Saccharomyces cerevisiae S288C: one gene and its partners. Changing the gene in region 3 together with the main gene of any one other region gives a genetic interaction. Each region holds a gene or a part of one and is shown on either strand. Other genes may lie near its edges.

Region 1 (7,857 bases), on a different chromosome or scaffold from region 3:
GATCTTATGACCTGATAGTCAAAGAGAAAAAGAAAAAAGCAGAAGGAGCAAAGAAAGGCGGCGACCAAATGACGAATTAGATCCAATGAAAAACGATTCAATGCGAATAAAGGTTATCATGGATCACCTGATGGGCCTCTTGGCAATAGAAAAAGAAACTAGTTTGAAATTCATTAATATAAATAAATTTAAAGAGGAGAATATAGAAACAAATTAAAACGTAAAAGAAATGTATGTCGAGAAAATCCAGCCCAGTTCCAAGTATATAGCAAAGCTTCTCAATCCCAAATTTCTTTACAATAAATATGTATAGTGTTGTTACTTTACACTTAACCCAGTAACTTAACAAAGAACCAAGCCGCACCTGCTGCTACACCACCCACAACAACCATTTCAACACCTTCCGTAACTTTCTTTGAAGTCGAACTGCCACTACCCATGGATAGTTTTGTCTTTACGTAACCAAACCAGAATAATGTTACAACCATGACTATTATAGAATAAATGAGACCTGTGCCCACATCTGAGACAAAAAAATATGGCACTAGTGGTACTAGCCCACCAAGTAGATAACCGCCACCGATAGTGACTGCACTGATTAGTTCTCTATTCTCGGCAGGTTCGTCTAGACCCCTACCGTACCTGATAATGAAGTCAACCATTAGCTCAGGTGTTCTTTGTAAATCTTTGATGAACGAAACGATTGTTTCGTCCGAGAAATTAGGGTTAATCTCTAACAGAATGTCTTCAATTTCTCTGTTAATTAGGTTGGAGTTATCGTAAAATTTCCTTTTCTCCTTCTTTACTTCAGCATGATAATAATCAGATTCACTCTTCGCTCCCAAATAGCCACCAAGGCCCATAGAAATCGCACCTGAGATCAACTCAGCAAAGCCACCGGTAATGACCAATTTCGCATCACCAAGTGAAGATAGACCAGCTGTTAGAGCAAAGGGGACGGTTAAACCGTCGCTTAGCCCGATAATCAAATCGCTAATTACGCGAGGATCTACTGATTGGAAGAACCCTAGGTTCGCCTTTTCGTTATCCGAACCGTTATCGCCATTCCTATTATCTTTCCCTACTGACATCGGTGAGTTTTCTAGATCCTGCGCTGAATTTCTACCATAGATAATATCCGAGCTAGATGAGGATAAGTTATCATGCCTTGAACTATTGCTATTACTACCCCTCAACAAGGGAGTTGATTCAGACCCCCCCAACTCTGAGGTTCCACCACTACCTTTCGCTTTCTGTATAAGGGTCACCACTGCGTTCTTTAGTGCTACAATGGACATAATATTTGTGTGCACGAGATATGGGAGGACAAAAAAAAAGTTTCTTTGTTCAATATACCAATAAAAAAAAAGAGTCTAAAGGCTTCGTTCTGTTATATTTCTATTCTATAAACCTAAAAAAAGCAAAAATTGAGAGTGATGTCGCTTTAACTTGATTATTTGAACTATTTTGTTTTGTATCAATTTTTCATATATAATCTTAATTTTACATCTTCATTGTGAGACATTCGGGCTAACAAAGAAAACAAAAAATGCGGGTCACGAAAGGGGTACCGAGCCAATGAGAAGAGGGTATGTTAGTAATATTAGTGAGAAATGCGGCGCGATTGGTCCAGACCGAAAAAAATCAATATTATTAAACTGTAAAAGTTATATTAAAAATTAAGTTACATTAGTAATTGAAGTTCACAAGAAGAAAAAGAAGAGAATAAATCTAAAACCAGGCTTCAAAAATTAGGGTTGATTGCAAAATTCGAGTAAACAACTGCTAACGGCTGCTTTTTTTCTTGAACAGTTTAGTGAAGAAACTGGACTTCTTGTGCTTCGTGGGAGGATCTTGTGTTTGAGCCTGTATTGTCTTAGTGGCATGTGTCGAAGTGACCATTGTTGGCTCAGCGGCAGATAATTCATTCGTCGATGATGTTGTTGGATCCGTGGCGTCTTCCTGACGCTGAGGGGTTTGGTCCTGTAAAAGCGAAGAAGAAGACTTTAGATTATCCTGCAGTTCCGGTGATCTTGTTCTCGTTGTTGAAGCTACTGCGGAGGTAGGTACATTGCCCTGACTTTGCCCATTCGAGGACGCAGTAGTCGAGTCTATTTGTTGTTGAAGGGGTGAAGGTGAATCTGTAACTACTGGATTCGTCATCACACCTTCGTTTGAAGATGGCTTTGCGGTTGTCACACCTTCCGAAATAGACGCTGCTGGGAAGCTTTCTTCAGCATTACGAGTAACTGGAGTTTGTTCGCCTTGTTCCTTCTTGTGCTGGTAGCCGTAGTTTTCTTGAGAGAATTGCAGCACTTTATCGAACATGGTTTTGAACTTATTTTTGGAAGAACCAGTTGTTTTTGTCTTCTGCAATGGAATGGGCTCGTATTCATGCACTTCGCTTTGGACTGGAATTTCAGAATCCCCTAAATAGTGCTGCTCATTGGGCGGGATGCTCCCAGTGGATCCCAGATGGCTAACGCCGACCTGACGAGGTTTAGCCGCCGTAGTGCTATTATCGACTGCTTCAGGTTGAATACCATGTGAGTTGTAATACCTCGCTTGTGCGATTTTCAAAGCTTGGTCATACATTTCTTTATCTGTTAGCCCTGTGTTTGCACTTTTAGGCTCTGGAACTGGGTCAACAGCCTTATTCGATTTAAAATGTGTAGACACAGAGTGATTGTGCACTTCATGGGGGGCGCTTTTAGTATTTCTGCTGAAGAAGGAACTTGTAAATCTTTTTGGTTGAACCTCGACATTAGATTTGACAAGATTAGCAGTCGCCGTCGGAGAATCACTACTGCTTCTCAAGGTCATTTTTTGACCCATCCTACTTTTCCTGGATTTGTTACTCCCGAGGGGGGCCGATGCGTTATCCGAAGCAGCATCCGTGTGATAAACGTTTCTTTTAGCAACCTCTAGTGCCTTCAGATACATTTCTGCTTCGGTTAATGGTTTCTTGGCCTCTGCTTCTGCGTTTTTCACGGCAGGCGGTCTTTTCTTCCTTCTTGTCGTCGATGCTTGCTTCCTTTTATTATGAATATATTTACTACTGGTCTGATGGGTGGGAGGAATATAATCTAATGCGTCACTGAAGTTTGATAAACTACTTTCTTCTTCTAGAGGCATAACGTCTGTAGAATACTTATGGTGGAAATATGATCCAAGTGGGAAATCTGGTTTTTCCACGTTTAGCTCTGAATCATCTTGTAAATGACTTTCGCTTACTGGGGAATATGGCTTTTCGTTATCTGTTTCGTTTTCCTCGATTATATCGTGAATGTTATCACTAGCTTGTTCCTCTAAAATGTCGTCATCTTGCAACATGTAATTTTCACTAAATTCATCGAAATGACGCTGCGAGTCACCTAATGGAACCAAATTCTTAGTCGTAGTCGTGGTTTCTACGTATTCATACCCATTTATTTTTCTTATTGTCTTTTTGGTAATTGATTGAGTCCTTCCTGAAGGGTCTGTTACTTGTGTAGTCTTTACGGTAATGGAGTTGGCCCTTGAATCGTTATTGTTGCCGGCCGTCGATTTGTTCTTACCGTAGTTTCTTCTGACATTCGCACCAGACGTCATAGAATTCATACGGCTCCCATTAGTAGTATAACCGGGCGGGTGTAAATGGTACTCTCCGCTCCTTTGCGACCTCAACGAGTAAGTCTTCTGTGAATACTGCTTAGCTGCTGCCCTGGACGTTGGCGGAGCGGCAGAGGATGTGGAAAGCCTTCTTCCTGGGCTCTTTACCGAACTTCTTTGTCTCGGTATTGAAGGTGCATGACTAACCAGCGAGTGCGACCTTGAGTAATTGGTTCGATCCGGTGATGCGGCAGAAGCAGCAGAGGCAGCAGCAGCAGAGAGCTGAGGACTTTTGTTATAATCTTCATGGTTCTGATAGTAGTAATCATACCTAGATAAATCAGGTACCCTCCTGTCCCTCTTTGTAAAACCAAATACCATTTTCAACTTTCTTGATCAACAGAATGTCTTTGTTTGTTTATTCTAGTGAAAAAATAGAAGTAAAAAGCAATCAATATAAGCAACGTGAAACGATCGAAGGAAACTAAAAGAGGTTTGATGTTAGAAGAATTGATTAACACCAAATCAAGCAATTTATTGAAGTATGGGTCCCTGATGTTTGTCCTTCTCGTTCTTGCTTTCCCTCCCCTCTTCTCATCCATTCGCTTCATTTATGCTTTTATTTTCTTCTTTTTTTTCTCACAACAAATGTCCGAAACAAAAAAAGGGGCCTCAGCCATTAAAGGTAGTGAAAGGCACTTCTAAGAGTTGCGCCAAACAAGGGAAGATTAAAGGGAAAGAAAAGCTCTGGCAGGCTAAAACTGGCAGACTGGTCATGAGTGAAACTGGCGAAACTTCAGAGTATTATAAGCAGGCGCTGGAAGAATACAAAGAGGTCCAAGAAGACGAAGACCCGGATGTGTGGGACACGAGAATATCCAAGACCGGATGCTACGTAGAGAACCTCGCATTACAGCTGTGCCATGCCGAAACAGGTGACTGGAGGCAGTGCTTCAACGAGATGGCGTTATTTAGGAAGTGTTGGGAAAAGAATGGTAATAGAGAGCGCGTAAGCACAGTGGACGTGGATGGGACGACCAGTAAGGATTCGGAAAAGAAGAAATGAAAATCTAAATGTCGTGATGTATAACTTGTATATAATAGACAGCTGCAGTGATCGAAACACATTGTTTCCCTTTATAGAACATAACTGTTACGCTTTTGAACGGCATTTCTATGAGCTTCTAGAATATTTTTCCGCCCTAGCTGGAGAAAGTTCAGACAGAAAATTATTTAAATAAGTCGAATATCAGAGGTGCTGATGCGCTCACATCACATAGAAAACTGGTAAGACAATATTCAGGCGATCAAGGAGTAAAAATGACTAGACCTAAAACTTTTTTTGATATTTCTATTGGAGGTAAACCCCAAGGCCGTATAGTTTTTGAGTTGTACAATGACATAGTGCCTAAAACGGCTGAAAATTTTTTGAAGTTGTGTGAAGGAAATGCTGGTATGGCAAAGACTAAACCTGATGTACCATTGTCGTACAAGGGTTCCATTTTCCACAGAGTGATCAAAGACTTCATGTGTCAATTTGGTGATTTTACCAATTTTAATGGTACTGGCGGTGAGAGCATATACGATGAAAAATTCGAGGATGAAAATTTCACTGTTAAACATGATAAACCATTCCTTCTATCCATGGCCAACGCCGGTCCAAATACCAATGGATCTCAAGCTTTCATAACCTGTGTTCCTACACCTCATTTGGACGGGAAGCACGTTGTGTTTGGTGAAGTGATTCAAGGTAAAAGAATTGTTCGTTTGATTGAAAACCAACAATGTGACCAAGAAAACAACAAGCCATTGCGTGATGTAAAGATTGATGACTGTGGCGTGTTACCTGACGATTATCAAGTGCCAGAGAATGCCGAAGCTACACCAACAGATGAGTACGGCGATAATTATGAAGATGTTTTAAAACAAGACGAAAAAGTTGACTTGAAGAATTTCGACACCGTCTTGAAAGCTATCGAAACGGTAAAGAACATTGGTACTGAACAGTTCAAGAAACAGAACTATTCCGTGGCTTTAGAAAAATATGTCAAATGTGATAAATTCTTGAAAGAGTATTTCCCAGAAGATTTGGAGAAGGAACAAATTGAAAAAATCAATCAATTGAAAGTGTCTATTCCATTGAATATTGCCATCTGTGCTCTTAAATTAAAAGATTACAAGCAAGTATTAGTAGCCTCATCGGAGGTGTTATATGCCGAAGCGGCTGACGAAAAAGCCAAGGCCAAAGCTTTGTACCGTCGTGGCCTGGCCTATTACCATGTTAATGACACAGATATGGCTCTCAATGACCTAGAAATGGCCACTACTTTCCAGCCAAATGACGCTGCCATTTTGAAAGCTATTCATAATACTAAATTAAAAAGAAAGCAACAAAACGAAAAAGCTAAAAAGTCTCTTTCGAAGATGTTCTCCTGATTACTTGCATTATATATATGCTTATATGTTTAAATACTAAACAGTTGCGCTGCCTCAGTAGTTAAGTAAAAAGTACGTAGAAAACTCTGTTAAAAAAATTATTTTTTCAGGCATAATAAGCGGATATTTTCCGATGTCCATTTATGCAGTGGGAAGATTAAGAAGCTAATGATACCGTAACTCCACCAGTGAAACTAAAACGTGCGTCCAAAAAGCGCTGACATAAATTACTTATTGATGTCCTCACAAGAATATACAACTTTTATAGATATACCAGTGACAAGAGCGCAGGTTGAACACTGTTCTTACTCGTTTTGGTCCTCACTGTATCCCAAATATGTGCCAAAATCCATAGTGTTAAAATCCTTACCGAAAAAATTTATTCAATATTTGGAACAAGACGGTATCAAGCTACCCCAAGAGGAAAACTCCAGGTCTGTGTACACCGAGGAAATAATAAGAAATGAAGATAATGACTATAGTGATTGGGAGGACGATGAGGATACCGCCACCGAATTTGTCCAAGAAGTTGAGCCATTGATAGATTTTCCAGAATTACACCAGAAATTAAAGGATGCTTTGAACGAATTAGGTGCAGTGGCTCCCAAGTTAAACTGGTCTGCACCAAGAGACGCTACCTGGATTTTGCCGAATAACACTATGAAGTGTAACGAGGTAAATGAGCTTTACCTATTGTTGAACGCATCCAATTACATAATGCATGACCTTCAAAGAGCATTTAAAGGCTGCGTGGACGGGGATGATATAAAAGGATTGAAATTTGACTTGGTACTTAGACAATGGTGTGATATGAATCCGGCACTCGAATTTAGGGTCTTCGTTAAGAATGCGCATATCGTTGGGGCCACCCAGCGTGATTTAAATTATTATGACTATTTAGATGAGTTGTCAGATACCTTCAAGGACCTTATTGATGAAATAGTTCATGATGTCGTCCTGCCCAAGTTTCCTGATAAAAGTTTCGTTCTTGACGTTTATATTCCAAGACCTTTCAATAAAATCTTCATTGTTGATATAAATCCGTTTGCCAGGAAGACAGATTCTTTGCTATTTTCATGGAACGAGATTGCTGCGATAGCACCTCCGAAGAATGATGTTGAAGATTATGAATTAAGGTTAGTGACGAGGCATAACACGGGGAGATTCGCTTCAAAAGAGCACTCCGAAAATCATGTTCCACAGGATCTCGTAGAAGCTAGTTTAAATCCTGAAGCAATCCGAGAGCTCACTCAAAAATGGAAAGAACTACTCTCTCAACAGGCAAAGGAAGAAAGCAGTGATAGTGAGAATGAAACTTAGATTTAGAACCCGCATTTGAATATATTCGTCTTTTTATTACCCTGTTGTATGATTATATAAAATTATTTACATCGATTTATATTAACTTTTATCCGATAAAGCAACAAAATAACAAAAGTATGCGTGCAAGAATTATTAACAAGGGGCCTTACCATGTAAAACTTTCTTCTTCTAGTTCAACGTCAATCTTCAAGGAAGAGTCTATACCTTGGACCACTGCATTTCTAAAATCGTCGTTAAACGTTGCTGGCCCGCAGGAATAAAAGGTAATATTATTATTCTCTAGTTCTGAGAGTTTTATTTCCGAGCGCACTAGTTCTTTCAAATCAGGTCTTTTATTGAGACATTCAACAGTGATTTCGCTTTCTTCTTTATCATCAAAACCTTTTGTACTCTCATCTGAATTTGTGTCCTCAACACTGGAACCAGTATATATGACTGAGACTTCACAACTTTTCTCCTTTAACCATTGCAATTCATTTTCAAACCATTTCAAATGGGATAGGTCAT
Region 2 (8,317 bases), on a different chromosome or scaffold from region 3:
TATAATATTACGTATTTAGAATATACTAGAATTTCTCTATGAGAAGAACCCACGAAGAGATCGATATTCTCGATATAATGGCATTATTGTTATCCTTTTCATCTTATGTGACTGTCATTCATCATCCTACTAAATTATCAATCCTTGCAATTAGCTTCTATTACACCTGATGACTGTTTTTCAATCTTTATGTGATCTTTTTACACCCAATGTGATAAAGTACTAGTAACATGAATACTACTAAACAGATGATACTTTAGAGTTTTCATTCCAACACTCAATTGTAAAAATAAGACAATATTATGATTTTTTGGCTGTATAACCACATCTATTTAGTAGCAGGGTGACATGTTACTCCCACACAATACTTCGCGCAAGTGGTTTAGTGGTAAAATCCAACGTTGCCATCGTTGGGCCCCCGGTTCGATTCCGGGCTTGCGCAATTTTTCCCCCTCGCCCTGAAGGGCGTAACGTTAACGCTTCCGGTAATTTGCGAATAATTTTTCTTCCCATTTCCCCTTTCTTTTCCCTTTAACATGTGGAGCATAGCAGGCTCTTTACTTTTTTACGCATTCAGACAGTCGGGAGGTCAATTGGTGGTGCCGGTTGTGGGAAAGAGGTAATTTTATTTCCTTTATTGGACATGATTTCAATAGTCACATTGGGGCAGGAAAAAGAAAAGGGAGAAAAAAATTCAGTAAAGAAAAAAAATAAGAAAAAGAGAAAAGAAACAAGAGAGGGCTACAGATTTCTAAATATCCTTTTGCTGCACATTTTTTATTTACCTGCTAATTGGTCTTAGTAATACAGAGTCGTGCATTTCCACTTTATAAGAAAAAAAAAAGGGATAACAGCACCAGCACTTGATTGAAAACTAGAAAGTTCACGTTTTATAAGTCCTTTCCGTTCTCTTTATCAGTTATAATAAAAGAGCCAAGACAAAACGTGGCAGGGAAGCTTTTCCAAGGAAAAGAGGGTTGTAATATTAAACAAAAACCGTAATCAAGCAAAATAAGACCCCGTGGTTTTTTATCATAGGAAAAGAGTTCTCTGTTGTCACTCTACCATATTTGACAAGAAAAAGGAAACAAAAGTATAGAAAAAAAAAACCTAAAAAATAATGGTCTTGATAAATGGCATAAAGTATGCCTGTGAGAGGTGCATAAGAGGCCATAGAGTAACAACATGCAATCATACAGATCAACCGCTTATGATGATCAAACCCAAAGGTAGACCTTCCACTACATGCGACTATTGTAAACAACTTCGAAAAAACAAGAATGCAAATCCTGAAGGTGTTTGCACGTGTGGCCGGCTAGAGAAGAAAAAACTGGCACAGAAAGCCAAAGAAGAAGCAAGAGCTAAAGCCAAAGAAAAACAAAGAAAACAGTGTACCTGCGGGACTGATGAGGTTTGCAAATATCATGCTCAAAAGAGACATCTAAGAAAGTCCCCTTCAAGTTCTCAAAAGAAAGGAAGATCCATTTCTCGTTCTCAACCAATGTTTGAAAGGGTATTGTCTTCTACTTCACTTGACAGCAATATGTTATCCGGCCACGGAGCACTATCAGATACCTCTAGCATACTGACGAGCACATTTTTAGACAGTGAGCCGGGTGTTGGTAAAATTTCAAAAGATTACCATCATGTCCCTTCATTGGCCTCCATTTCATCCTTACAATCCTCGCAATCGTTAGATCAAAATTTCAGTATACCACAAAGCCCGCCGTTATCTTCAATGTCATTTAATTTTCTCACGGGAAATATCAATGAAACCAACCAAAATCACAGTAATCATCAGCATTCAAAATCAGGCAATAACTGGCAAGATAGTTCGGTAAGCTTGCCAGCGAAAGCTGATTCACGTCTTAACATGATGGATAAAAACAACTCTGTGGGTCTTGACCTATTAGGCCATTCAAAACGAATATCGCCGATATCAAACTCTCGTGTGGGCGAAGTTAGCGTTCCGCTAGAAGAATATATTCCTTCTGACATTGATGGGGTTGGAAGAGTTACTGATAAAAGCTCTTTGGTCTACGATTGGCCATTTGATGAAAGTATTGAGAGAAATTTCAGTACAACCGCAACCGCTGCAACTGGTGAAAGTAAGTTCGACATTAACGACAACTGTAATAGAATTAATAGCAAAAGTTATAGTAAGACTAATAGTATGAATGGAAACGGTATGAACAATAGCAATAATAATAATATCAACAGTAATGGCAACGACAAGAACAATAACAACTCTTCTAGACAAGAACATCAAGGAAATGGACTATTTGACATGTTTACAGATTCATCGTCGATTTCAACGCTTTCCCGTGCAAACTTATTATTGCAAGAAAAAATTGGTTCGCAAGAAAACTCTGTCAAACAAGAAAACTATTCGAAAAATCCTCAACTTCGTCATCAATTAACTTCCAGAAGTAGATCATTTATTCATCATCCGGCAAACGAGTATTTGAAGAATACTTTTGGAAATTCACATAGTAATGACATCGGAAAGGGAGTTGAAGTGCTATCTTTGACACCGAGTTTTATGGATATTCCCGAAAAAGAAAGAGAAACGGAAAGATCGCCATCATCCAATTACATTACTGACAGACCTTTCACTCGAAAACCTAGATCTTCTAGCATTGACGTAAACCATAGGTATCCACCTATGGCACCAACAACCGTAGCGACATCTCCCGGTGCATTGAACAATGCCGTAGCAAGCAATCTCGACGATCAACTGAGTTTAACATCACTAAACTCTCAGCCATCATCGATAGCAAATATGATGATGGACCCTTCAAACCTAGCTGAGCAAAGTTCTATTCATTCAGTTCCTCAGTCAATAAACTCTCCGAGAATGCCTAAAACTGGAAGTCGCCAAGACAAGAACATTCACACTAAGAAGGAAGAAAGAAATCCGCTAAATAACATACACGATCTGTCACAATTGGAAAATGTACCAGACGAGATGAACCAAATGTTCTCCCCACCATTAAAAAGTATGAATAGACCGGATGCCATAAGGGAAAATTCATCTAGTAGTAATTTCATAATCCAAGGAAATAGCATGATCTCTACGCCTTCCGGAAGGAATGACCTTCCAGATACCTCTCCAATGAGTAGTATTCAAACAGCGTCACCACCAAGTCAATTACTGACCGATCAAGGATTTGCGGATTTGGATAATTTCATGTCTTCGTTATGATAAATTTGCTTTTCGTCTCTTGCTTCTCTGTAACTGTAGTTTTCCTCCTCCCACATATATATATATATATACACTTTTATACACCTAATAATATCATCGGCATTATGATTGCTTATACATTTTCATAATCAATATTACTGTTCACCATTTGAATCACTGCAGAAATATGCACTGCGCCTTCTTTTTCTTTGCCTGAAGCACCCACACACAAGAACAGGAATGTGAATGGCCTCCCCATCTCACTTTTACTTAATAGTATTCTGACAATATAAGGTATCAGAGAGTAAGACCATTATTAGGCAAACAATAATCTTCAGAATTTTTAGTAGCGCATTCTCAACCTTTCTAGGTGCGTTTTTCTAATGAAATAGTATCGTTTTCCTTCCGCATTCCTTGCGTAGTTTGTTGTGTAAATATAGCAATAAGAAACCCTATAAATCATTATGATGTAACTCCCGATTCTTTTAAATAATTACATAAACTAGGAAGGCAAGTCCGAACACGCAGAGATGAGGTATTTGCACTCAATGACAAATCTAGGTTTAAACTACGGGGCTCCATACCTTATCTCTTCACTTATCAAAAGTAGGCAAAAGAAAAGAAAATAAATATAATTTCTTTTTCTGCAGGCAAGATTTTAAAAGAACTTGCGCGTCCTCTGTGCAATCTACCTGGGGAGTCTCGGGCTTTAACCGCTCCCCATTCTAAACTGCTTCCATTGACGTGTACTATACTGCTCACTTCTTGCTCTTCGAGCAACAAAATCTGTATTACGTTTCTTACACTAGTCGAGTGAAAGAGATAAGATACCCACTTTTACTTGCCGGGAGAATGGAAAAGAGAAAACGGAAGAAAGGGCTTAAATACATTTTCCTTTAATATGAACATCCTACTGTAAGATAAAAATTGGATGCTGATAATGGAAAGGAGACATGTACGGTATGTACGGCAAAACCTCGGCGGGTTTTCGCCGCTAGCTCATATATTCTTTCGTTAAATTTTAAAATTTCTTATTCTAAATCTTCTTTACATGTTTGGAAAGAATTTATTGGAGAGAAAAATCTAGACCTGCCAAGCCGATAAACGAATGCCTGCGAAGAAATAGTGTAAATATTACTCCTGAAGGTAGAGTCATCTAGGCGGAGACGAAAACAAAGTTTAGCTTTTCGTGAAATTGCCCATTTCATGTTTATCAACCACCAAAGGTTAAATGGAGGTTTGACAAAAGAAATTTTCTTGCTAAAGGTTAGCATTTTTTTTGGAATTTTTTTTCCTTCGACTGGCTGTAGTTGTCCTTCTATATTACGTACAACAAAAACTTTCTTGAATGAAGAATTAGTTCTATCATATAGACCATAAGAAAGAAAACGCACTTGGATAATTTTTAACAAAGAAGAGGGCAAACTGACGCTCACCAAGCTATTGGTTTGTTTGGATCAATCGTCAGATATGAAGCCGAACAATCGAACTTGTGATGTAATTACCAACAAAGATGAATCTCTTCCTGCACTTTTGCTGCCTGCACTGAACAGTTACACCTGTGACGATTCATTGCTAAAAGGACAAATTTCAAGCAATGGCAGATATCAACCATTCGGGTTTTCTGATTGCTCTTTACTGCCAAAGCGTTTAAACATTCAGGCAGGGCAAGGATCTATGCCAGTTTCTTCGATTCAATGTGCAGACCACAGTTATAGTAATTGGCAAAAAGAATCCGAAAAGACTAAGCTTCCCAAGCTTGGTTGCCCAACAGAGTACACTGAATACTATAAAACTGTTTCTTCCGGCGAAACAACCGATTCAGCGGTTGTTTCATCTATAGCAACGAACAGACTCAAAAGAAAACGTCAGAGGGACGGCCCAAGTTGTGACTCTTGTAGGATAAAGAAAATAAAATGCAATGCAACAATCATTATCTTTTTACAGGATAGGAACCTAATTTCATCAATTTCTTCAAATTTGCATTATACACTTTCCCAAGACGACATAAACCAGTTTCGAATGAAGTTTTTCAGGAAACTGCCTGACGTGATGGGCACATATGAAGTCATAAAACACCTTGATAAAATAGTCCTTTTCAAAGCCTGCACCTCTTGCAGTAGAAGAAACCAAAAAAATGGAAAGTGTCTTTTTTCGAGAGGATTTACAAAATCTGATATGAACGTATTTCCCAAGATAAATAGTAAACTTAAAGACAAAAGTATCTTCGAGATGACTGTCGATGATTATGTTGCCGCTGGCTTCCAAACCCTTTAGGTTTCATGCATGTAATTTCCTCCTATGTAAAATATAGGAATATTAATAAAACGCACCAATAATAAGTTAGATATTTTTCTGCAAGATATAAATTTGTTTACTCATACATATATATTCTATTGCGGGGCGCTCTTGTATAAGTAATTCAATAAAAAACCTCTATATGATACAATTGACCAAGCCTTCATTTACCATTCTATATCAATTTGGAAAGAAGGGTATTTCTCTATTTGGGCTCTACATTATAACGCAATCTTATACCCATTGCGGATAGCTCAGAGTCCAAGTACTTCAACACAAATGGTATGGCCACCGTAGTTGTTTCATTACCACCAACAAATTTGTTACCTTGTCCATCTTCCCAAATTTGAGAGTCGTCAATAAAAATTTTCTCTCCATCTTCTGATTTAGTCAATAGCTTCTTTGCATCTTCGAATCTCATGGAACAACGACGGCAACAAACGGTGGAAATCGAACCAATTCTTGGCACACTCTGTTGCGTGGTCAAAATAGAACCACACTCGCGACATACGGATGCCTGTGTGTAGTCTGATGAATTTAGCAGACGATCTTGTAATAGAAAAGATGTACCATGCCCAATCAAAGCATCTCTTTCCATTTCACCGACACGAATACCACCATGTCTCTTTCTACCTTTGACAGGCTGCATAGTCAAACTATTCACAGGACCAGTGGAACGAACTTGGAACTTGTCATTGACCATATGACGTAATCTTTGGTAGTAGACAACACCAACATAAATATCTGCCCTTAATTCTTCACCAGTAGCACCTGAGTACATTGGCTCATTACCATGGTAGTTGTAACCCGCCTTCGCTAGTTGCTCACCAAAGTAATCGGCTGGGGTATCGTCCTCGTTAAAGATCCAAGGTGTAGAGTCCTGTGCAATACCATGCAATGCCCCCGCTTTACCTGCTAAAGATTCGACGAACATACCAATGGTCATACGCGAAGGGAAAGCATGAGGGTTAATGATGATGTCTGGTTGGATACCTGTTTCGCTAAAAGGCATATCAATGGTTGGCCATTTTCTTGAACAAACACCTTTTTGACCGTGTCTAGAAGAAAATTTATCACCAATTTGAGGCGTTCTTCTAATACGATATTTTATGCTAACAGTTTGTAGTTCTTGGAACTTATTGGATTCATCACCGATTAAATTTACCTCTTCGATATATGCTGGTTCAGAGGAGTGATATGTCTTGATTTTGGTCTTATTTAAAGTATCGTCAAAGTATGCGCAGATTGGATCACCCTCTTCAACATAAGTGCCAATGTATGGCAAACCATCCTCGTCTAATTTCTCAAGCCACTCCTTTGGCCATTCGTCATTCCCGAAACCAAAATGCTGTGTAATTGGGTCACCACGGTTTCTGTTAAGTGCTAAATCCACTTTCTCAGTCTTATACATAGTACCATAACCGAAACCTCTTTCATCTGCTGATTTGTTTATAATCATTGCATCATCCATATCATAACCAGTATACGAGATGACCGCAACAACAGCATTAAACCCGTTTGGAAAGTTATCCATGCCATAATCATCATATAAATTAGCTTTTACGATAGGCGTTTGACCTGTTTGCAACCTATACAGCTTATTGTCGGAACGATGGCACAAAGCTACACCCGGAGTACCCATTGTTTGTTTACCCATCTGACATTGATACATGTTTCTTGGAGACTGGTTGAAATCAGAAAATGGAGTCAAATTAGCCAAAATAGAAAGAATATTTGTGGGCGTAAATTCTACGTGTGTATGAACGTTATTTTGAATTTCTTGAGGAGTGACAGCAATGTTCATGTACACTTGCTCAAAAGGTCCAACAATGTCTTCTTTATCCAAAGGCAGGTAACGAACAGGACGCAGCATCCTAGAATGACCACCAAATAGGTAGAGACCTGGATATTGACCACGAGTTGAGGGAGGAACATATCCAATTTCTAGATCAATCGGTAACCCAGGCGTCTTGCCTTCAACTTTCCAATATCTCAATGTATCCGCAATGATCTTACCTTGTTCATGAGAGACCCAGCCAATAATTTTACCATCAATTTGAACACAACACAGAGAAGGACCAGCAGCAAAGGTGTGAGATGCCGGAGCAACACCAAGTGAGTATAATATAGAAGGAATTCTTGAGACGTCAGATTGCTGAGTTGATATACGACACTTGTGCGCAAAATGGTTTAATAAACCACAAGGAGAACCATCTGGTGTATGAACAGGGCACAGGAATCCCCACGACTCAGGTAGCAACTTTCTGACTGTGGTAGTTTTCAATTGCGCAAAAAAGGAGCCTCTATGAACCATTCTAAAATGAGAGATAAAACGGTAGAAGTTAATTTTTTCTGCAACCACAGTATAACCAGAAACTTGTTGTAAATCTAACCCAGACTGGGACACCAGGTTACCAGTTGATAAAAAGTATTGCATTTTGGAACCAATGTTTTCATTAACCCTCATTAAAACTCTTGACATGTACCTTTTGTCTTTGAAATTAATGGCCATACCACGGTTAATATCCATCCTGACTTGAGCAATAATATTCTGTAAGTACTCATCAATCTTTTCTTTTAGGATCATACCATATAAGAAACCACCCAAAAGAACTTCTTGATGTTGCGTAGCATCTGGGTTATCTGGAGAACATTCGCCTGCAACCAAGGAATACAACTTTCTGATCATGAACAATAACATTCTGAATTTATCCTGGCTGCCATCCTTACCCAAATGCACGAGAACGATGCGATCAAGGACTTCTTGTCCGACTTCTAAATCAGATTGATCAGGGGAAGCTTGAAAGACAACACGAAATTTGTCTCCTAAATATT
Region 3 (6,394 bases):
GTAAATACTTGACTCTCTGGTCTGAATCCGCAGCGTACGAGGCGATCCTTTGAATGTCCTTCGTGGGCTGTACAAAGTTTTTTGTTGTTACCTTCTGTTGCTGCTGGCGGTGATGCAAGGAGGGAATATGAGAATCGCTGAACCTTCTTGCTATGAACTGATGGTTGTTGTTGCTAGGCGACAGGTTATGTACACACTGATAAAGGTCGTAAATGTTCATAGAATTAGACAGCCTCTGTTGTCTTTTAGACATGAAGTCCCCGAACAGGTCTGTATTACAAGCCCCCTCGTTATGTAACTTCTCTCTTGGTGAGCACGATTCCGAAAATTCAGAGTCGTTATCGTTGATATTGAGCACCGTTTTAATGAACTCATGTTTCTTATTAGGAGTGGGAGATCTGTTACTCTCCAGAAAATAGTCGTCATGATGGCCACCACTTCCGGCACCGCTTCTCATATCCTCCCCCTCTTCCTCCTGAATAGCCTTGTAATGGATGGTTAGATGGGCAGATATGGGTCTATTGCTACTGCTACTCAGCATGGTTATATTCTGTTGTCTTCTTTACTTTAAGGCGAAAGGTCAGACAATATGCATATATATATATAGTCTTCGAATGCACGGCAAAAATGATATGAAGAGCTATGCTACAGTATATACTTCTTTGTTATTGCAATCAACGTGAGCCTTAACCAATGAGGAAGTAAGAAGGAAATAAGAAGTAAGACATAAAATAAAACTACAAAAAAGAAAGAAGATCCGCAAAAACCCAAGAACAGCATTGTAAGTACTACCATCTATATAGATCGAATATCCTACTAATATATAGTAACTGCCACACGAAAAACTGTGGGTGTAAAGACTATTCATAGCCATTCTCTGCTGCTTTGTTGCATCGTATCATCGCCCGTTTCAGCCAGTCCCGCATACCCCCTTTGCAACGTTAACGTTACCGCTAGCGTTTACCATCTCCACGCTAAAAGGAAAACGAAGATTAAGATAAAGTTGGGTAAAATCCGGGGTAAGAGGCAAGGGGGTAGAGAAAAAAAAACCGGAGTCATTATATACGATACCGTCCAGGGTAAGACAGTGATTTCTAGCTTCCACTTTTTTCAATTTCTTTTTTTCGTTCCAAATGGCGTCCACCCGTACATCCGGAATCTGACGGCACAAGAGCCGATTAGTGGAAGCCACGGTTACGTGATTGCGGTTTTTTTTTCCTACGTATAACGCTATGACGGTAGTTGAATGTTAAAAACGAAAACAGAGATATTGAATTGATCAATTTGATCAGTACGTATGTAATCTTTTGTTTGCCATGTTAAATCGGCCTTTTTTTCCATCCGGTCTTTATCTACCATTCATTTATTACATCGCAATGAAGTCTCTCGCTTCATGTTGTTGTTTTTTTTCCTGCCTTTTTTTTATCCGCTCTCATTCTTATTTTTCCTACTTGCATTTTATAAAACAATAATATTTTTTTCTTCTTTTTGTCCTTTATTTATTACTTCCTTGATTAAAAGCTTCTTATCTTCGGTTTCATAAAGAAGAAAATTCCTTTTTTTTTTTTTTTTTCCTTCTTCTTGCTTAAAAGCCTTTCTTATACCTCATTTGAACAATAGAACTAGATTTAGAGACTAGTTTAGCATTGGCCAAGAACTAACCATACGCAATGACTGTTACTACTCCTTTTGTGAATGGTACTTCTTATTGTACCGTCACTGCATATTCCGTTCAATCTTATAAAGCTGCCATAGATTTTTACACCAAGTTTTTGTCATTAGAAAACCGCTCTTCTCCAGATGAAAACTCCACTTTATTGTCTAACGATTCCATCTCTTTGAAGATCCTTCTACGTCCTGATGAAAAAATCAATAAAAATGTTGAGGCTCATTTGAAGGAATTGAACAGTATTACCAAGACTCAAGACTGGAGATCACATGCCACCCAATCCTTGGTATTTAACACTTCCGACATCTTGGCAGTCAAGGACACTCTAAATGCTATGAACGCTCCTCTTCAAGGCTACCCAACAGAACTATTTCCAATGCAGTTGTACACTTTGGACCCATTAGGTAACGTTGTTGGTGTTACTTCTACTAAGAACGCAGTTTCAACCAAGCCAACTCCACCACCAGCACCAGAAGCTTCTGCTGAGTCTGGTCTTTCCTCTAAAGTTCACTCTTACACTGATTTGGCTTACCGTATGAAAACCACCGACACCTATCCATCTCTGCCAAAGCCATTGAACAGGCCTCAAAAGGCAATTGCCGTCATGACTTCCGGTGGTGATGCTCCAGGTATGAACTCTAACGTTAGAGCCATCGTGCGTTCCGCTATCTTCAAAGGTTGTCGTGCCTTTGTTGTCATGGAAGGTTATGAAGGTTTGGTTCGTGGTGGTCCAGAATACATCAAGGAATTCCACTGGGAAGACGTCCGTGGTTGGTCTGCTGAAGGTGGTACCAACATTGGTACTGCCCGTTGTATGGAATTCAAGAAGCGCGAAGGTAGATTATTGGGTGCCCAACATTTGATTGAGGCCGGTGTCGATGCTTTGATCGTTTGTGGTGGTGACGGTTCTTTGACTGGTGCTGATCTGTTTAGATCAGAATGGCCTTCTTTGATCGAGGAATTGTTGAAAACAAACAGAATTTCCAACGAACAATACGAAAGAATGAAGCATTTGAATATTTGCGGTACTGTCGGTTCTATTGATAACGATATGTCCACCACGGATGCTACTATTGGTGCTTACTCTGCCTTGGACAGAATCTGTAAGGCCATCGATTACGTTGAAGCCACTGCCAACTCTCACTCAAGAGCTTTCGTTGTTGAAGTTATGGGTAGAAACTGTGGTTGGTTAGCTTTATTAGCTGGTATCGCCACTTCCGCTGACTATATCTTTATTCCAGAGAAGCCAGCCACTTCCAGCGAATGGCAAGATCAAATGTGTGACATTGTCTCCAAGCACAGATCAAGGGGTAAGAGAACCACCATTGTTGTTGTTGCAGAAGGTGCTATCGCTGCTGACTTGACCCCAATTTCTCCAAGCGACGTCCACAAAGTTCTAGTTGACAGATTAGGTTTGGATACAAGAATTACTACCTTAGGTCACGTTCAAAGAGGTGGTACTGCTGTTGCTTACGACCGTATCTTGGCTACTTTACAAGGTCTTGAGGCCGTTAATGCCGTTTTGGAATCCACTCCAGACACCCCATCACCATTGATTGCTGTTAACGAAAACAAAATTGTTCGTAAACCATTAATGGAATCCGTCAAGTTGACCAAAGCAGTTGCAGAAGCCATTCAAGCTAAGGATTTCAAGAGAGCTATGTCTTTAAGAGACACTGAGTTCATTGAACATTTAAACAATTTCATGGCTATCAACTCTGCTGACCACAACGAACCAAAGCTACCAAAGGACAAGAGACTGAAGATTGCCATTGTTAATGTCGGTGCTCCAGCTGGTGGTATCAACTCTGCCGTCTACTCGATGGCTACTTACTGTATGTCCCAAGGTCACAGACCATACGCTATCTACAATGGTTGGTCTGGTTTGGCAAGACATGAAAGTGTTCGTTCTTTGAACTGGAAGGATATGTTGGGTTGGCAATCCCGTGGTGGTTCTGAAATCGGTACTAACAGAGTCACTCCAGAAGAAGCAGATCTAGGTATGATTGCTTACTATTTCCAAAAGTACGAATTTGATGGTTTGATCATCGTTGGTGGTTTCGAAGCTTTTGAATCTTTACATCAATTAGAGAGAGCAAGAGAAAGTTATCCAGCTTTCAGAATCCCAATGGTCTTGATACCAGCTACTTTGTCTAACAATGTTCCAGGTACTGAATACTCTTTGGGTTCTGATACCGCTTTGAATGCTCTAATGGAATACTGTGATGTTGTTAAACAATCCGCTTCTTCAACCAGAGGTAGAGCCTTCGTTGTCGATTGTCAAGGTGGTAACTCAGGCTATTTGGCCACTTACGCTTCTTTGGCTGTTGGTGCTCAAGTCTCTTATGTCCCAGAAGAAGGTATTTCTTTGGAGCAATTGTCCGAGGATATTGAATACTTAGCTCAATCTTTTGAAAAGGCAGAAGGTAGAGGTAGATTTGGTAAATTGATTTTGAAGAGTACAAACGCTTCTAAGGCTTTATCAGCCACTAAATTGGCTGAAGTTATTACTGCTGAAGCCGATGGCAGATTTGACGCTAAGCCAGCTTATCCAGGTCATGTACAACAAGGTGGTTTGCCATCTCCAATTGATAGAACAAGAGCCACTAGAATGGCCATTAAAGCTGTCGGCTTCATCAAAGACAACCAAGCTGCCATTGCTGAAGCTCGTGCTGCCGAAGAAAACTTCAACGCTGATGACAAGACCATTTCTGACACTGCTGCTGTCGTTGGTGTTAAGGGTTCACATGTCGTTTACAACTCCATTAGACAATTGTATGACTATGAAACTGAAGTTTCCATGAGAATGCCAAAGGTCATTCACTGGCAAGCTACCAGACTCATTGCTGACCATTTGGTTGGAAGAAAGAGAGTTGATTAAAAGAAAATGACCTTTTATTACACTTTCTATTATTAATGTCAATTAATGTTAACCCATGTTTTTCTTTTGTGTCTATAATTCTTTTTTTTTATCTCTAAGCTTTTGAACAATGAATTTTTTGTTCCTTTCTTTTAATAATACAAGTACTACCCCATGAAACCAATATTATCATGCATTTTTATGAATGTCAAGAATAAAGATACTGTTATTTTTTGTGTCTTATTTTTTTTCTCTTTGTTTATTTAAACGTTTTCTAAAATTAAAACTTATGTATACTGGAATATGTGATATAGACGATTTAAAAGATAATTCCAATAAACGTCCCTCGGATCTCATATTTATAAAGGTACCCTTTTAATACAATATTTATACATGTGCGTTAAATACTTTGTTCTCTTATTATCTATGAACTTATCACGAAGAACGGAGATGTAAACAAAAAGAGTGAATGAACTATGAACTTTAAATTACCTTATTACGGAGGAAGTATTCCTTCACCTATGAAGGATACAAGGTCTACATTTTTCGTCTGATAACTCTCAGGAAATTAAACAAAGTGGTATGGTTTTATCAAGGGGAGAAACAAAGAAAAATAGCGTGAGATTAACGGCAAAACAAGAAAAGAAACCTCAATCTACGTTTCAAACTTTAAAACAGTCACTTAAACTTAGCAACAATAAAAAGTTGAAACAGGATTCGACCCAACACTCAAACGATACAAATAAATCTGTTAAAGCCAAAAAAAATGGCACGTCCTCGAAGAAAACCGGAACACAAAGGAAAAGAATATCAACTCAGAGATTTTCATTGTTTACCTATGGCAATGTTCAGGTTATGAATTCATTCGTTCCCATTCATAATGATATTCCGAATAGCAGTTGCATTCGTAGAAATTCCCAAGTATCCGCAAATAATGTCACTGAAAGTAGTGGAGTATTCTTCAATGATACGCAAAGTCAAGACAGTCAAAACACTATTAAGTTAAAACCTACATCTTTAATGGCAAAAGGACCTATTGAAATATATCAGATATGTACAGGGTTTGATAAGTTAAAGGAAAATATAGCGCCCTTTCAAAAATCTAGTAAAGCTAGTAGTCATGATGGGCATGTAGTAAACTATTTATCGATAGGACGACATGGTGATATTGTGCATCCAGTACTACCCAAACTACAAATAACAAGGCTAAATGGCGCAGGTTTCAAATACTTTATTAGCTTTTATAATCCGGAACGGTACTGGGAAATCGAATTTCTACCTTTGATTAGTCAATCCCAATCAGAGTTGGAAAATAGTGTGAAAGCTTTTGAAAACGTCATTAGCAAAATTTGCCAATTTTCGCATATTAATGAAGGAGCTACTATTGGGAATAATGAGTCTTTGAGCGATAAATTCAAACTGCCGCCTACTTCGGACATAGAGCCCCCCAATACTGAAATAATTAATAATGATGATGATAACGATGATGATGATGATAATTATGATGATGACGACCTTAATTACTTGCTGGATGAAGAATACGAACAAGGATGTACAGATAATAGCTTCTCCGTGATATCGAACACTTGCTCTAATCTAAATGCAAGCTTTCTCTATCCGAGCGACCCTACCGATGCCGTGTCAATCTCCATAAATGAAGCTTTCAAAAATGCTATCAGACGAACCGCTCCTGTACTGAATATTCCAATAGCAGCCCCAAGTATTCATTCGAAACAGCAAAACAAAAGATATAGTTCATACCCTTTTATCGACTCTCCCCCGTATCTGCAGGACAGGCATAGAAGATTTCAGAGGAGATCCATATCTGGTCTTGGCGACCTTTGAATGAAGTTCAAAGCATAACT
Region 4 (8,584 bases), on a different chromosome or scaffold from region 3:
TTCTTCTTTATCATCTAGATACTTAATGGTTACATTATAATCCCTTCCCCTGCCTGCATCAAGCTCATTATTGTGAAAATGAGAGATGTATCCCGAGCTATGTTGATACGGAATCTGAGCAGTCATTTCTAGCAATAATTGAAGTACTTTACTTCCTAAGAATACGTTAACAAATTCTTTGTTAGTATTTCTAATTAAAAGTGGTTAATTGTTCTGTTAAACAGTATTCAATGTTGCTATTTGAATTTGTGTCATCATTAGAATTACTGACATTTTTATTTTCTATTTTTTTTTCTATTTTTTTTCCTCTTCTTTTGAGGGCCGACGTATCGATTTGTCAAGGGAAGTATAATTAAAGAAAGCACTGATATACAGGTTGCTGGGTAGATATTAAGAAGCTCAACATAGACACGTTATGGACGGGCATAATCAGAACCAGTACCAGAATCAGAATCAAATTCAGCAGTCACAACAACCACCTCTGAAGAAATATGTGACACAGAGACGATCGGTAGACGTGAGTTCTCCGTATATTAACCTATATTACAACAGACGACATGGATTACCGAACCTAGTGGTAGAGCCAGAAACTTCATACACAATAGATATAATGCCGCCTAATGCCTACAGAGGTCGAGATCGAGTCATAAATTTGCCCAGCAAATTTACGCATTTAAGCTCGAATAAAGTGAAACATGTGATACCCGCCATCCAATGGACCCCAGAAGGCAGAAGACTTGTAGTAGCAACTTATAGCGGAGAATTTTCTCTATGGAACGCATCTTCGTTTACGTTTGAAACCCTCATGCAAGCACATGATTCGGCTGTGACTACAATGAAATATTCTCACGACAGTGATTGGATGATTAGTGGGGACGCAGATGGAATGATTAAGATATGGCAACCAAACTTTAGTATGGTTAAAGAAATTGATGCTGCACACACGGAAAGTATTAGGGATATGGCATTCAGTAGTAACGACTCGAAATTTGTTACCTGTTCAGATGATAATATCTTGAAGATTTGGAACTTCAGCAATGGCAAACAAGAAAGAGTATTATCGGGGCACCACTGGGACGTGAAAAGTTGTGATTGGCATCCCGAGATGGGGTTAATTGCCTCCGCATCTAAGGACAATTTAGTAAAACTGTGGGATCCGCGTTCCGGAAACTGCATATCATCAATTCTGAAGTTCAAACATACTGTCTTGAAGACGCGATTTCAACCCACCAAGGGAAATCTATTAATGGCGATTTCAAAAGATAAATCGTGTCGTGTGTTCGACATTAGATACAGTATGAAGGAACTAATGTGTGTAAGAGATGAAACGGATTATATGACACTAGAATGGCACCCAATAAATGAATCTATGTTCACTCTGGCGTGCTATGACGGCTCGCTAAAGCATTTTGATCTTTTACAAAATCTAAACGAACCTATTTTGACTATTCCATACGCCCATGATAAGTGTATCACCTCGTTATCATATAATCCAGTAGGACATATATTTGCCACAGCAGCTAAGGATAGAACCATAAGATTTTGGACTAGAGCGAGGCCAATTGATCCTAATGCATATGATGATCCAACTTATAACAATAAGAAGATAAATGGATGGTTTTTTGGCATCAATAACGACATCAATGCTGTGAGAGAGAAGAGTGAATTCGGTGCGGCCCCGCCACCACCAGCTACACTTGAACCACATGCGTTACCAAACATGAATGGATTCATCAACAAGAAACCGCGTCAAGAAATCCCAGGCATCGATTCAAACATCAAGAGTTCCACATTGCCAGGTTTAAGCATATAAAAGTGCGCTTTGACGAGATTTTAGGATACATAAATAAAAAGACTATATAACATATTATTTGTGATAATATCTCTCATTTCTGGGGAATGTACCCCACAGGCACCACTGTTTACTTTTGTCGCTGATATCTTCATAGAATTTTTCTTTATTCTTTGGGGTATTCTTCTCGGTGTAATATTCAATGAAAAATAAATATCGCCAGTTTCTATCATGTTCGTCCAAATGGAATGGTCTAGAGTTTATAGAACACATGTTGAGTGAATGGATTTTTAGTATGTTCAAAACATCTACCAAAGAACCAGGGTCATCTTGACGAGTAGTAAAGGTGAGTAGGTTAACCCGTAGTAATCCAGTGTCTTCTACTTCATTGTCGCCTGCGTTCTCCCTTCTCTTCAATACTAAAAATCTTGTTGTATTTCCTAGCTTATCATTTATCGAATGTTCAATGATGTACGCCTTATGCAATTGGGCAGCTGTTTCACTAGCAATGGCTAAATGCAGAATGTTGTCGCAATCGGCCGTTGATGACCGAATGCATTGGTTCACTGATTCAGATGTGGAAGAACAATCCAATCTTATAAAGGTGACCTGCGGAAATTTTTCTGCCATGGACCTTAAGTAACATTCAACCTGGCCCCATACTTGCGGATGTGAGTGTATTATGACTTCTTCAAAATTTCCAAGGGATGCAATACCATTTGGTAGTTGGATTGGGCTGATTAGACAATGGGTAATGGGTACATATTGCTCCGCTATAACTTCTATATCTGGTGTAATTCTATTAGTATCTGCTGGAGCAGGTAAGGATAGGGCTTTTTTGATCATCCTATCACGCAAGAGATCATAGGAAAAAACTACTTGTCCATTGGTGGAATTTTCCAACGGTACCACTGAATAATCTATACTAGTGTCGTTCTCCAATTGGTTAAAACATTGGGGGATAGAGGCTGCTGGGAGGTACTCAACATCAGATGTTGATTGAAATTGTTGTAATGCAGCTTGATGGGAATACGTACCTTTGGGACCCAGAAAAAGAACCCTCAAAGTCTTGCTGGCCATAATTGAAGGATGAATGCGGAAATATAATGAAGTTGCTTTTCGTACTTTTTTAGCCTGTTCTTTCTGCGTATTATATTCATCTACTAAAATTTTTATTTTCATTTTTCATTATGAAAATACAAGAGTCATGCTGATAACTGTGTAAAGAAACTGTACGCTTGTCGCAGATGATGTAGTACGTATTTTATTTACAGGTGTCATTAATATATATATATATATATATATACGTATACGGAAGTAATTCTTCGTTAATTTTCCATGGACTGTGATAGCGAAATCAATTTCTCGACGGTGAATCCCGGAGAGGCCTTAGAGAAATCTCTTAACAACTGCACTCTCTGTTTAGCAACTGGAGTTTCTTCACCCATTGCACCATAAAACCTTTGCACGTTTAGCAATAACAGCTGTGCATCCTGTACATTCACGTTTGTATCCGGTTCAACATGGCCATTCATAAAAACAATTCCCTTATCCTTGACCAAATCAGAATGGAACTGCAAGGTAGTATGTGGCCTTGCAAATTCCTGGTGTAGTTTGTATTCTGCTAGGGAAGTCATCATACAATGTGTTGTTTGGGGTCCGACAAACTGCCATTGGATGTAGTGTAGTTCCATTCCCTGTTCTTCGTTCGGTTTTGCATCCTCAGATTGAACTTGTCTAGGAAGTGGCAACACGAATATAGGGTTATTCCTGGCATTTGCCATCATCTTATCATAAACGGAGACAGGAATCACAGCGCATAATGTATTATCTTTTTGTGCCCATCTTGCTCTCCAAAGAAACTCTACTTCCTGTTTCGATAAGTCCTTCAGTTTTCCAACATCCAAAAAAGAGTCCAATGTTTTGAAGGGAACTTTAGGAGCACTTGGATCGAGAGGACTTCTTGATTTCGTCATCAAATGCTTGGAGTTGTTATTTTCCATTTGAGTTTTTTGTTGGTAATCCTCTAGTTCTTTCAGGGGGTCGATTTTATTAAATTCCCGCTTCTTAGACTCTATAGTCTCTTTCAAATGATTTTTCAACTCTTCTATGCTGTTAAAACCTTGTTTTTGAGCCTCTTCCAAAAGTTTCTTTCTATACTTCTGCTCTGGGCTGGAAGAATAAAAACGAAAAACAGGAACTGTTCCAATTGCCTTGTTAAAAATGGGCGACAGCTGATTAGAAATATGGATTCTAGTGCCGATTTTTCTGGTTAGTCTCCACATAGTTATTCTTAAATCTCTTTTGTTCTCTATTTTCAAGTCTTGATAAGTTCTTCACATCCTTCGATTACGGCGTCAAAATAAGCGTTATTTCCATTCGGGTGAGTTGAACCATTGATAACAACATGGTTTAACGATACTTTGAAAGGTTTAGGCGGAGCCAACCATAATGGATGAATCGGTGGATCCTGTGGAGCTGCTTCTACGACTACTGATACGGCACAAACCTCATCTGAAACCATATGCCTACAGACAAGATAGCTGGCAAAGGGTGCTCGATGAGTACAACAGACAGACTGGGTCAAGATATAGACAATCAAGGACGTTAAAAACCAAATTTCGTCGACTGAAGGACCTCTTCAGCGCAGATCGAGCCCAATTCTCTCCTTCCCAGTTGAAGCTGATGGGAGCACTCTTGGACGAAGCACCAGAACATCCAAGACCAAGAACTAAATTCGGAAATGAATCATCTTCATCCTTATCATCATCTTCTTTCATTAAAAGTCATCCGGGGCCTGATCCGTTTCAACAATTATCATCCGCTGAACATCCGAATAACCACAGCTCCGACGATGAGCATTCAGGCTCACAACCGCTGCCCCTGGATTCAATAACGATTGGAATTCCGCCTACTCTTCACACAATCCCCATGATTCTGTCTAAGGATAACGACGTCGGGAAAGTCATCAAAAGCCCTAAGATAAACAAGGGTACAAATAGGTTCAGCGAGACAGTACTGCCTCCACAAATGGCTGCTGAGCAATCGTGGTCGGACTCTAATATGGAATTGGAAATATGTCTAGATTATCTTCACAACGAACTCGAGGTGATAAAGAAAAGGCAAGAAGATTTTGAGTGTAAAGTTTTAAACAAGCTCAACATAATTGAGGCTCTCCTTTCACAGATGAGACCACCCAGCCAAGGAGATAAAATATAAAAACTTCTATTAGATATGCTTGATTCATGTCCATATGTATCTATTTATACAAACATTACGTAATATACACAGATTATACATGAAAGGTGCTCTTCATATTTGGCTTCTTGCTTCCACTAGCCTATCCCAACCAGGAGAGTCATCCCATCTGCCTTTGCCTTTACTCATTAGAGCTTTGATAGTAGATCTACATTTGTATTTCCAGTCTTTGCAAACCAGACTGCCTGGCCCATATTTACCTTCCATTTCACCAAGTGATTCATAGGCAGCCACCAAATCTTCACAAGCATCCACTGTATCATTCCAAACCTTTTCTTCAACTTCTAAATCAGGATTGTGAGAAATGGCCCTATAAGCCTTCTCGTGGCATTCTAGGGCGGCCCATGGTCTCTTCCTCCAAAGTTCTACTCTTGCGACCAGTCGCCAACATCTTGCACTGGTTGTAATTACCTGAGGTAAAGTGTTACAGATAAACTCAGTACAGCTCTTTTGAAAATAAGATAATTGCTGCGGCTCCTCTGGATATTCACTAGTCACTAATAGTTCTACTAGTTTTTCAATAATTGGTAAGTCGATGGAACCTTCGCCAGATTTGTCCCTCCTAATACTGACTAATTGTTTACATGCAGTTAAGACATCCTCCCACTCATTCAACTTAACAGCAACAAGCATGTAATTCTCCCAAATTTTCCAGTTCTTTTGAGCGTCACATGAAATGGCTCTTTTCAAACAACTATAAGCTTCTTTCAATTTATCCATTTTCGTATATGCAGCGCTCAAATTTGACCATGAAAGAGCATGATAAGGGTCTAATGAAACACATCTGGTAAATGCCTCCGCAGCTATCTGCATTTTACCACATTGTAATCCAACGCAACCATAAAAATACCACGTTTCAAAGCTTAATGGGTATTGCCTTAACGAGTCATTTAAATGTTTCAAGGTAGCAGAGTAATTTGGTTGTGCTCCAGACTTTGGAGGAGGATTAAAGTAATACTTTGCAAGGGAATTTTTTGCGTTGACGTATTTTCCAATCTCCCAACTTTTTTCCCATAGGGATGGATCCTGTTTTATATCACCCAAAATGGAGTAAGCCCTGGCATCCGAATCATTTTCATTTATTCTTTGAAGAAGGATTTCTTCTGCCTTTTTTTCATCTCCAACAGCGGCATAACATAATGCAGTCTCGCATGCCATACCAAGTCTTTCATAAATTTCCACAGCGGACTTCAAAATACCCAGCGACATATATTTTTCAGCTAAGGTGGCATCCAATTGCCACCTAGGGATGAACGGCAGCTGGTGGATGTATGACAGCCTGCTAGCAACATTGATTTCGCTTGAACTTGGAACCAATTTACTCTTAATCTTCAAATCCAATTCTTCTACGAGGGATTGCATTTGTAAAAGTCCTCTTTCAATAGTTTTAGCCTTTGTTGTCTCAATAATTGACCTTTCCCATAATGATCGGGCGAAAATAGACCAATTTTTGTCACCGTTTTGATATAATATTCTAGAAAGCAAAGCAGTAAGTTCTTCTTCCACAAGAGGATCCTTGGCCGGAGTTGTGTTCTTTATGGTGTAAAGACGTAACAGCAACTGGATGTTGTCGTAATCAGATAGGGTAGGTTGATCGTTAGGGTTCAAATCCAGCAACAACTTTGGAATATTTTCTTGACGTAGTGCCAATGGCAATAGTTTATCTTCTTCATAACCTTCATTTAGGTCTACCTTTTGTCTTTTACTATAAATTTGCTCGTCTAGAGGTTCATCAGCAATGGACTCAAAATGAGGCTTCTCCAATAATAGATCGGACTCTAAAGCAAATGTTTCTGGTGTAGCAGATGTCGTTCTCAAAGCAAAATTTTGAAATGTGAAGGATTTGGCAAGAATGATCAAACCGGCATGAGCCTTTTGCTGATATTTAGTTCTAGTAGCGCGTGCACCCGTCATTACAAATTCAAAATTTGTTATCTTTTTCGCTCTGGTCAAGGATGGCAGGCACAAATGTTCTGTGTTGATGGCCAATGAACATTTGACATTCTCTAGATAGTACATTGCACAAAGTTCTCTTTTGAAATCTTCGTGAATACTCTCCGGTAATTCCTTAGTTATCGCATATGCAAGGTCAGCAGACTGATATATTGCAGATGCAACACTAGCTTGGAACCCAGAAGGTTCTGGAATCAGTGACAATTGCGTCAAAAGAGCTCTTGCCCACCACCAATAAGCTACAGCTAATAATCCAGGAGTAGACTCAGCAGAGATAATAGGTAGCGGAATTTCTTGATCCGGGGTAACATCAAATAAGCTTTTTTGGCCGGTTATCCTTTCAAGTAATAATAGTGATAAAACCAAATACAATGGATCATCCATAAATTCGTAGGCAGGCTGGCCCATAATGGCTAATGAGCGGGAAAGGGCTGTATTAACTGCTCCTATTTCAATTCCAGTTTTGCCAAACAAACCTGAGATTGCTTTCAACCTAGCTGCTGGGCCGGTGTAGTTATTTTGAATAAAGGTCTGTAAGAGGGCAATAGCCAAAAATAGCATCTCATTTTCTTGGCCCATTTTGAAAACCTCAACGTTAAGAAAGTCATTTAGAGCAGCAATAACACTAGATGTGGATATTTCTCCCGAAATACTAATTTTTCCCTTAAATTTGTCCACAAATTGCTGTACTAGCTGGTATGATTCACCACTGATGATATGTTCAGCCTTTTTCACATATGTCTGGTCGAAAGAACCACTTTTCAGAGATTCTACTTCTGCAGACAGCAATAATTTTGCATGCAATAACGTCTCCATAATTTTGCAACCACTAGTTTACTTTTTGCCTGGTCTGATAGCTTCTTTTTAGCAATTCCTTTGGCCTCGATGAGCTTCCATTTTCAATTTTCATCTTTTTTTTCACGATGCGAAGTTTCTTAGATAATTATCGCCATATACGAAACGCGTTAGGAAACGCGTTCTTTCCTTTATAATAAGCAATATTATATCAACTTAAGGTGGAAGTAATGTGGCAAAATCGATAGCGACTATCTAGAACAGGCTAGTTTAAGCATATACATAATGGCAAGTATGTATTAGTGCTAGGAATTGGAGGATTTGCTCTTTTCTGCATCATTTTTTTTATTTTTATTGGCGAATGTTAAAATTACTAACAATGGATGGGATTCCAATACAGCCTATCAACCATATAACGAATATTCATCAGTAACGGGCGGTGGCTTTGAGAACTCTGAGTCCCGCCCAGGTAGTGGGGAGTCGGAAACTAACACTAGAGTTAACACCTTGACACCTGTGACGATCAAACAAATTCTAGAGTCCAAACAGGATATTCAGGACGGCCCCTTCGTTTCGCATAACCAAGAACTTCATCACGTTTGTTTTGTAGGTGTGGTGAGAAACATTACAGACCATACTGCAAATATTTTTTTAACTATTGAGGATGGAACTGGTCAAATAGAAGTGAGAAAATGGAGCGAAGATGCAAATGACTTGGCTGCCGGTAACGATGACTCTTCTGGTAAAGGTTATGGTTCGCAAGTCGCCCAACAATTTGAAATTGGC

What was found.
Region 1: mutations in PFK2 (region 3) and COA4 together harm fitness more than expected from each alone (negative genetic interaction), as found in Saccharomyces cerevisiae (2 studies listed by BioGRID).
Region 2: mutations in PFK2 (region 3) and SUT2 together harm fitness more than expected from each alone (negative genetic interaction), as found in Saccharomyces cerevisiae (2 studies listed by BioGRID).
Region 4: mutations in PFK2 (region 3) and ATP11 together harm fitness more than expected from each alone (negative genetic interaction), as found in Saccharomyces cerevisiae (2 studies listed by BioGRID).

Annotation. Positions count from the first base shown.
Region 1 is NC_001144.5:570,266-578,122, reverse strand, and holds COA4 (Coa4p), read left to right. Parts: upstream 1-4,204; coding exon 4,205-4,657; downstream 4,658-7,857. Other genes in the region: CCC1 (Ccc1p), read right to left, coding at 330-1,298; MSC3 (Msc3p), read right to left, coding at 1,786-3,972; peptidylprolyl isomerase CPR6, read left to right, coding at 4,912-6,027; cell proliferation protein CDC123, read left to right, coding at 6,265-7,347; FRE1 (ferric/cupric-chelate reductase), read right to left, coding at 7,496-7,857. UniProt on the Saccharomyces cerevisiae protein: Involved in cytochrome c oxidase assembly or stability.
Region 2 is NC_001148.4:571,898-580,214, forward strand, and holds SUT2 (Sut2p), read left to right. Parts: upstream 1-4,654; coding exon 4,655-5,461; downstream 5,462-8,317. Other genes in the region: HAA1 (Haa1p), read left to right, coding at 1,121-3,205; DNA-directed RNA polymerase I core subunit RPA135, read right to left, coding at 5,688-8,317. UniProt on the Saccharomyces cerevisiae protein: Putative transcription factor involved in the regulation of the activity of the cAMP/protein kinase A pathway. Involved in sterol uptake.
Region 3 is NC_001145.3:670,043-676,436, reverse strand, and holds PFK2 (6-phosphofructokinase subunit beta), read left to right. Parts: upstream 1-1,670; coding exon 1,671-4,550; downstream 4,551-6,394. Other genes in the region: YMR206W (uncharacterized protein), read right to left, coding at 1-541; INP1 (Inp1p), read left to right, coding at 5,112-6,374. UniProt on the Saccharomyces cerevisiae protein: Catalyzes the phosphorylation of D-fructose 6-phosphate to fructose 1,6-bisphosphate by ATP, the first committing step of glycolysis.
Region 4 is NC_001146.8:40,204-48,787, forward strand, and holds ATP11 (Atp11p), read right to left. Parts: upstream 4,078-8,584; coding exon 3,121-4,077; downstream 1-3,120. Other genes in the region: HXT14 (Hxt14p), read right to left, coding at 1-126; cleavage polyadenylation factor subunit PFS2, read left to right, coding at 416-1,813; prephenate dehydratase PHA2, read right to left, coding at 1,868-2,872; DAL82 (Dal82p), read left to right, coding at 4,244-5,011; tetratricopeptide repeat-containing protein EMW1, read right to left, coding at 5,105-7,819; RFA2 (Rfa2p), read left to right, coding at 8,084-8,090, 8,199-8,584.